Macaca fascicularis: one gene and its partner. Each later gene encodes a partner of the first gene's protein in a complex. Links are inferred from orthologs where the notes say so. Each region holds a gene or a part of one and is shown on either strand. Other genes may lie near its edges. The genes, in order: IFFO1 and XRCC4.

The links.
Region 2: the proteins of IFFO1 (region 1) and XRCC4 are in contact, whole or in part, in a crystal structure (PDB 6ABO), measured with the Homo sapiens proteins. The link is inferred for Macaca fascicularis from reciprocal best matches to the Homo sapiens genes IFFO1 and XRCC4. Residues at the interface, in NP_001317253.1 of Homo sapiens: Arg469, Glu470, Tyr473, Ile477, Gln479, Ile480, Glu481, Glu483, Leu484, Ala487, Lys488, Asp490, Met491, Arg493, His494, Leu495, Tyr498, Met501, Lys505, Leu508, Asp509, Met512, Cys515, Arg516, Leu518, Ile519, Thr520, Gln521; in NP_001304941.1 of Homo sapiens: Trp155, Val158, Gln159, Phe162, Glu163, Cys165, Val166, Lys169, Glu170, Glu173, Leu176, Tyr177, Phe180, Val183, Leu184, Lys187, Lys188, Lys190, Ile191, Leu194, His195, Lys197, Leu198, Ala201, Ala202, Arg205, Glu212.

What each region holds. Positions count from the first base shown.
Region 1 is NC_088385.1:7,467,575-7,471,392, forward strand, and holds part of IFFO1 (non-homologous end joining factor IFFO1), read right to left. Parts: exon of another isoform or gene 3,604-3,818; coding exon of another isoform or gene 3,580-3,603; coding exon 3,422-3,579; intron 3,300-3,421; coding exon 3,179-3,299; intron 2,914-3,178; coding exon 2,818-2,913; intron 1-2,817. UniProt on the Homo sapiens protein: Nuclear matrix protein involved in the immobilization of broken DNA ends and the suppression of chromosome translocation during DNA double-strand breaks (DSBs).
Region 2 is NC_088380.1:87,285,399-87,289,216, forward strand, and holds the end of XRCC4 (DNA repair protein XRCC4), read left to right. Parts: intron 1-2,708; coding exon 2,709-2,820; 3' UTR 2,821-3,333; downstream 3,334-3,818.

The DNA of each region.
Region 1 (3,818 bases):
AAGATAGTGCCACTGCATTCCAGCCTGGGCGACAGAGCGAGACTCCATCTCAAAAAAAAAAAGATTCCAGAAATAAACAATTCCTAAGTTTTAAATTGCACACTGTTCTGAGTGACCTGATAAAATCTCACACAATTGGCTGGGCGTGGTGGCTCAAGCCTGTAATCCCAGCACTTTGGGAGGCCAAGGTGGGCGGATCATGAGGTCAGGAGATCCAGACCATTCTGGCTAACACTGTGAAACCCCATCTCTACGAAAAATACAAAAAAAATTAGCCGGGCGTGGTGACGGGCGCCTGTAGACCCAGCTACTCGGAAGGCTGAGGCAGGAGAATGGGGTGAACTCGGGAGGTGGAGCTTGCAGTGAGCCGAGATCGCGCCACTGCACTCCAGCCTGGGCGACACAGAGCGAGACTCCATCTTGGGGGAAAAAAAAAAATCTCACTCTATCCAGACCGGGACATGAACCCTCCCTCTGTCCCAAGGATCCACACTGTCTGCACTGCCTGCCCATTAGTTACTTGGTAGCCATCTCAGTGATCAGATTGACTGTCATGGTATCGCAGGGCCTGTGTTCAAGGAACCCTTACTTTTACTTCATAATGGCCCCAAAGCACAAGAGTAGTGATGCTGGCAATTTGGATATGCCAAAGAGAAGCCAAAATGTGCTCCCTTTAAGTGAAAAGGTAAAAGTTTTCAACTTAATAAGAAAAAGAATCCGATACTGAGGTTACTAAGGTCTATAGTAAGAATCTTCTATCCGTTAAATTGTAAAGAAGGAAAAAGAAGTTTGTGCCAGTTTTGCTGTCACACCTCGAACTGCAAAAGGTACTGCCACACCGCATGCTAAGTCTTAGTTAAGAGAGAAAAAGCATTGAATGTGTGGGTGGAAGACATGAACAGAAACACGTTCCGGTTGATGGCACCTGGACCCAAGCTATCAGGGGGTCAGTGCTATCTTTGGTTTCAGGCATCCACTGTGGGTCCTGGAACACATGCCCTGCAGGTAAGAGGGCACTACTGTATGAATCTCCCACATGGGCTTGAAGAGAGGCTGAGAGTCAGAGAAGGCTCCATGCCTCTCCTCAAGTCAGAGCGTCGGGAAAGGACCATCTCACCAGGCCAGGAGAGCTCACAGGGGTCCCGTCCATCCCTCCTCCCACAGCAACCTCCATTCTGTGGTTCCACAAATCCTTCCTTTTTTTTTTTCTTTTTTTTGAGACAGAGTCTCGCTCTGTCACCCAGCTGGAGAGCAGTGGCACAATCTCGGCTCACTGCAAACTCTGCCTCCCGGGTTCATGTCATTCTCCTGCCTCAGCCTCCCGAGTAGCGAGTAGCTGGGGCTACAGGTGTCCGCCACCACGCCCGGCTAATTTTTTTTGTATTTTTCGTAGAGACAGGATTTCACCGTGTTAGCCAGGATGGTCTCGATCTCCTGACCTCGTGATCCGCCCACCTTGGCCTCCCAAAGTGCTGCGATTACAGGCGTGAGCCACCGTGCCCGGCCTCCACAAATCCTTCTTGCAGGTCCTAAAGCCTAGAGTTTGAGTTAAAGCACCAGCTCCACTTGCCTCTAGGTACCTCTAGAAGGTACTTCAAGGCTTGGGAAAAAGCATGGAGACTTCTGTTATCTCAACGGCTGAGTGGAAGAAACAGAAAAGTCCCGGTCCGTCTCAGTGCTATGGCACTGATAGTGTTAATAATAATAAAATGGTCCCCACTATGCTACACTCGCTATGAGCCAGACACTGCCCTAAGCTCCATATGTGCATTATTTCATCCGCTCTTCTAAACAACCCTATAGATGAGGTACTATTAAATTCCTCATTTTACAAATAAAAAGGCCAGGCGCAGTGGCTCATGCCTGTAATCCCAACACTTTGGGAGGCCGAGTTAGGAGGACTGCTTGGACCCAGAAGTTTGAGGCCAGCCTGGAAAGCATAGTGAGACCCTGTCTCTGTAAAAAATCAAAAAATTAGCCGGGCGTGGTAGCACACGCCTGTGGTCCCAGCTACTTGGGAGGCTGAGGTAGAAGGATTGCTTGGATCCAGAAGATCAAGGCTGCAGTGAGCCTGGAGTGACAGAGCAAGACCCTGTCTCAAAAAAAAAAAAATAAAATAAAATAAAAATAAATAAATAAATAAATAAATAAATAGAAACAGGTACAGGACAGGACACATGGCTCGTGCCTTTAATTCTAGCACTTTGGGAGGCCGAGGCAGGAGGATCACTTGAGCCCAAGAGTTTAAGACCTGCCTGGGAAACACAGGGAGACCCCATCTCTACAAAAAATAAAAAATAAAAATTAGCTGGGTGTGGTGGCGCACACCTGTGGTCCCAGCTACCCAGAAGGCTGGGGTGGGAGGATCACTCCAGCCTAGGCAACAGAGTGAAACAGAGTGAGACCTTGTCTCAAAAAAGAAAGGACAGAAAGACAAGAGAGGGAGGGAGGGAGAGAGGGAGAGAGGGGAAGAGAGAGAGAGAGAGAAAAACGGGGGAAGGGAGGAAGGGAGGAAGGAAGAGAGGGAGGGAGGGAGGGAGGGAGGGAGGGAGGAAGGAAGGGGCTCAGAGGGAACAAGTAACTTGTTACACGTTCAGAGTGGTTGTAAGTAACAGAGCTGAGATTTGAACCAACATCTCTCTGCTTCTAGAGCCTGAGGTCTTCAGAGCCCACCAGAAGGACTATAGCTGAGAGATCACTCCTCCTCCCAAGACCTTGGTCTCTAGGGTCCTGCAGGAGGGATGAGGCCACTGCACCTGCAGCCCCACTCAAAACCCTCTGGGACACTGTGCCCCTGGCTTCCGCTCCTGCCCTTACCTCTATCTGGTCAATGGTCTCCTGATACTCCTTCTCCCGGGTTTTGAACAGGGACTCCGTATCTTTAATCACCTTCTCCAGGCTATCTTCCTGCTGCTGGAGTAGAAAGGGAAGCAGGGGAGGCCAGCCAGGGAGGGATGGGATAGGGCGCATTCCAAGGGCCAAGTCAGGGAGAGAGAGAGAGAGAGGAAGTCCGGTTAAAGAAACTGGAGAAAGAAAAGCAAAAGGATAAAGGAAGAGGGGAGACGCAGGTAGAGGATGACAGCCACATGGGGGGACAGAGCGAGGAGAGGAGCGGGGGGGTGGGCGTCAGGCTGGAGAGGCAGAGCCAGAGGGCCCTGAGGCCGGGAGCAGAGGTTACCTCTCCCTGGGCCTCTGCAGCTGCCATGGCATAGCCTGAGAAATCCTCCCAAAGCAGCAGGGTCTCCTCAGTCTCCTCCCAAGTCAGGCTGTCACAGTCGTCCTCAAAATCATACTCCCTCCTAGAGACAGGGAACCCGGGTGTCAGGGCGGGCGGGGCCTCGTCCTGGCGGGGGACTGGGGAGCTCCGGCCTCCTGGGCTGCTGTGGCATCGGTGCTACGGGAGCACGGCCTGCGGACTCACAGCTGGTTGAGCATGCGCTGCATCTCCTCGTTGATGCTGAGGGCTGTGCTCTCCTCCTCATCCCCATCGGGCTGGCGGGGCCCCTCACTCTCCGACAGGGAGGTGTCCTCCTCGACGGCAGCCTTGCGCTCCCGCTTCCGCCCCCCCATGGATGGGACCTTAATGGGAGACAAGTGCAGAGACTACAGAGACGAGGCCGGGTGCATGAGGAGAAAGGGCGGGAGCGGGAGGCCGGGCAGAGAGGGCGGGAATGGGGGAGAAGCGTGAACCAGCAGGAAGGGTGGGGCAGACAGAGAGAAAAGTCACAGTTACAATGACAGGAACAGAAACACGGACAGTCACCAAGGGCCAGGCACACAGACACACAGCAGAGGCCAGGGCTGCAGACTGAGAAGGC
Region 2 (3,818 bases), on another chromosome or scaffold:
ATATTATTATTTGAATTTTTAATAACAGGCATTCTGATTGGTGTTAGATGGTATCTCATTGTGGTTTTGATTTGCATTTCTCTGATGAGTAGTGATGTGTGGCATTTTTTTTCATATGTTTGTTGGCTGCTTGTGTGTCTTCTTTTGAGAAGCGTCTGTTCGTGTCCTTTGCCCATTTATTAATGGGTCGATTTGCTTTTTGCTTGTTGATTTAAGTTCCATATAGATTCTGGATATTTGACCTTTGACAGATGCATATTTTGAGAATATTTTCTCCTATTCTGTAGGCTATTTACTTTGTTGATAGTTTCTTTTGCTGTATAGAAACTCTTCAGTTTAATTAGGTCCTGCTTGTCAATTTTTGTTTTTGTTGCAATTGTTTTTGGGGACTTAGCCAAAAATTCTTTGCCAATGCCAATGTTGAGAAGGATATTTCCTAGGTTTTCTTCTAAGTTTTTTATAGTTTGAAATCTTACATTTAAATTTTTAATCCATCTCGAGTTAATGTTTGTATATGTTGAAAGGTAGGGCGATATGGTTTGGACTTGTGTCCCCACCCAAATCATGTGTCTAATTGTAATTCTCAATCTTGAAGAAGGGGCCTGGTGGGAGGTGATTGGATCCTGGAGACAGATTCCCCCCTTGCCATTCTCATGATAGTGAGTGAGTTCTCATGAGATCTGGTTGTTTAAAAGTTTGTGGCATCTTCCCCCCGGCTTCCTCCTTCTCCAGCCGTGTAAGACGGGCCTGCTTCCCTTTCACCTTCTACCATGAGGCTTCTCAGCCATGTTTCCTGTACAGCCTGTGGAACTGTGGCCAATTAAACCTCTTTTCTTTATAAATTACTCAGTCTCAGGTAGTTCTTTATAGGAATACAAGAATGGACTAATACATAGGGGCACACTTTCAATCTTCTGCAAATGGCTAGCCACTTTGCCGTGCACCATTTATTGTATCTGCCTTGCTTGTTTTTCCATTTCTTACTTTTAATTGAGATAGTTCAGTTATCTCTTTTGCCTAGGAGGAGTACAAGCAACTCTAAGACATTTGGCCAGAGAAAAGTGTTTAATGTGTTTTGAGTTGACAAAGAAAACGTATACCTGTAATAATTATACTTTTATCCCATACTGTATCATTTTCTCCTCCTTTGGAATATATTTTTAGATATTTAATTACATGTTACAATAATTATGCCTGTATTTATTGTTAATTTTAACATTGCAAATCCCAGAGGGTAGTACTTGTCATCTTGAATGCATTAATGCCTAGCACCTTGGCACTCCTGTGATGATAATATTGTCTGAAATTGGCTTGCTCAGAATAAGACAGAACATGTCCCAGGTCTAGTGGCAGCCAACCATAGTTAATTGTCTCTAATCATGATGCCAAGGAGAACTCGTTTCTAATAATCTGTGCAACCAGGTAAGGGTGCAAGCTTTTGAAAATACTCATCATCTAAACATACTTGATATGTGGGGGTTTTCAATAGTTATTCTTCTCTGCTGTTAACGGAAACTCGTATGTAGTTTATGCAGTATTAGCAGATAATAATAATAGTTTCCAAATATTTTGTGGGAATTTATAAGCATTTTCATTTACATCAACTCATTTCATCTTTAGACCACCTCTAGAAAAGTACTAATATCTCAGTTTTACAGTGGAGAGAATAGAAGCCCAGTTAGTTTAAATGACTTGCCTAAAGTTACATAGCTAATATGAAATAGACCTGGGTTCAAACTTGTTTTTCCCGACTTCAAGTTCCATGCTTTCTCAGCTATACCAAGGTGCTGTAACTCCACCATGGCCTTCAAAGTTGGAAATAGAGGGCTATTACCAAGTGTTACTGGGTTAGCTCAACCTAATCATAATCACCCCGGAAGCCACCTCTAATTGATAAAATTAAGCATACTTTATTTAGGTTCCACAGAGAACCACTGACAAGGTTTCTACAAGGATATTAACAGACATTCCAAAGCTTTACTTCTGATTGAGCTCTGTTATTCTCCAGCACAGTCTTTCTAAGACCAATTAATAGTGATCATGGCAGTCAGCCTGTTATCTTAGGGTTCAAAGAAAATATCTACATAAGTATAGCACTCAATCCATTGAAATAGTGACTACAATACGAACCTGAGTAAAATTTAGTTCACTAAATGAAGATATGCAGATTCGATAAATGAATATGGGCCAACATTTCATCAACAACTGCTATAAATGTGAAAAATCATTATTTTTCATATATACACATAGTCATCCGACCCACTAAAGGTAGTTCATGGGACCAAAACTTTCTGCTGCTAAGAGATTAAAATGCACGTTAATCAGTAGAATTTAAGAAAGCCAGAGTAAAATGTAAATTGTGATGAAATCATTAAAGGAGTAACTTGAAAAACCTTCTATATCCTGGCATAAAAGTGATTATAGCATAGAGGATAGAATATTTTATTTCTTGACCTCAATTATGAGTATTGTTATAGGTTTTTGAATTTTCCTGGGGTCAGAATAGAGACAGATTAATTCTAAAGCAGTTAGAGAAATTAGTCTCTTCATCTCTTTCCTTACAGTTAACAGCATAGAGAAGTAAATCTCGAAACCAATTTTGAAACAGGATTTGACTGTCATTTCACTTATGTGTCTCTTCATTTTCTTTTACTCTATAACAGAAGTTTTTAAAAATAAAACTATTTTGATTTTCTTTTCAACTCTAGGCCTGATTCTTCACTACCTGAGACATCGAAAAAGGAGCACATCTCAGCTGAAAACATGTCTTTAGAAACTCTGAGAAACAGCAGCCCAGAAGACCTCTTTGATGAGATTTAACAGTCTCAAAAAACACTTTGATGTTCACTAGACTATGTTTTCTATTCATTTCTTTAAAATGAAAAGGCAGAATTTCAAGTTAGCAGCTATTACTGTACCTTACAATTTAATTACATACACACTGAATTGAAACCATTGTGCAAAATGAATTACACATGTATACGAAGATAGTATTTGATGATGACACTGGCACATTATTCTAAACTATTCATTCAGCATGCCTATAATTACCTAAAATTTCAGACTTCTTGTTGCAAAGGCCACATTTATCATATTCATTCACACATATTATATGTGATAGCTATCTAACATCCTGTCTAGGAAGATTTTGAAAATAGGACAAAGAAAACATCCTTTTAAAATGTCTTCAGCCTTTTTTGAATAGACATATTAAAACATATTCTGAACACTGATGTTTGAGCATTTTAATTTGTGTAATGATGTATAAAATATAATTTTAGTTTGTACATAAACATTCTGAAAATCTGATAATAAAATTTTTGATACATTCAAGGTTTTGTGTTCTTAATAAAATGTGTTAAGTTAATTTTTATTATAGTAAGTAACGGGTTTTTAGAAACTGCTCATTAATGTAAATGTAACCCCCTTTGTGGCAAAAAAAAAAAAAGCATATTTTTCAGGGATTATTGATAAAAGATTTATCTTACACATACACGGGCCCTTCTTGAAGACAAGGACCTTGTCATAGCTCTTTGCAATAACATCCGGCACTATTGTCTTTGTAATCACTGTTTCTGCTTCTTAACCTTTCATTCTATCTTCACTTCTTACCTGTTTAATATCCATTCCTTCCATGTTATTCAAAGTTAACAATATCAGAGTTAGCCATGACCACCATGTTGCTAAATCCAGTGATTGGCCCATTCTTAGTCCTCATGTTATTAAGCCTGTCAGCACATTTTATATAGTTGATTGCTTCTCCCCAGTAAACATTTTCTTCACTTGACTTTTGCTATAGCATATGCTCTTTGTATTCC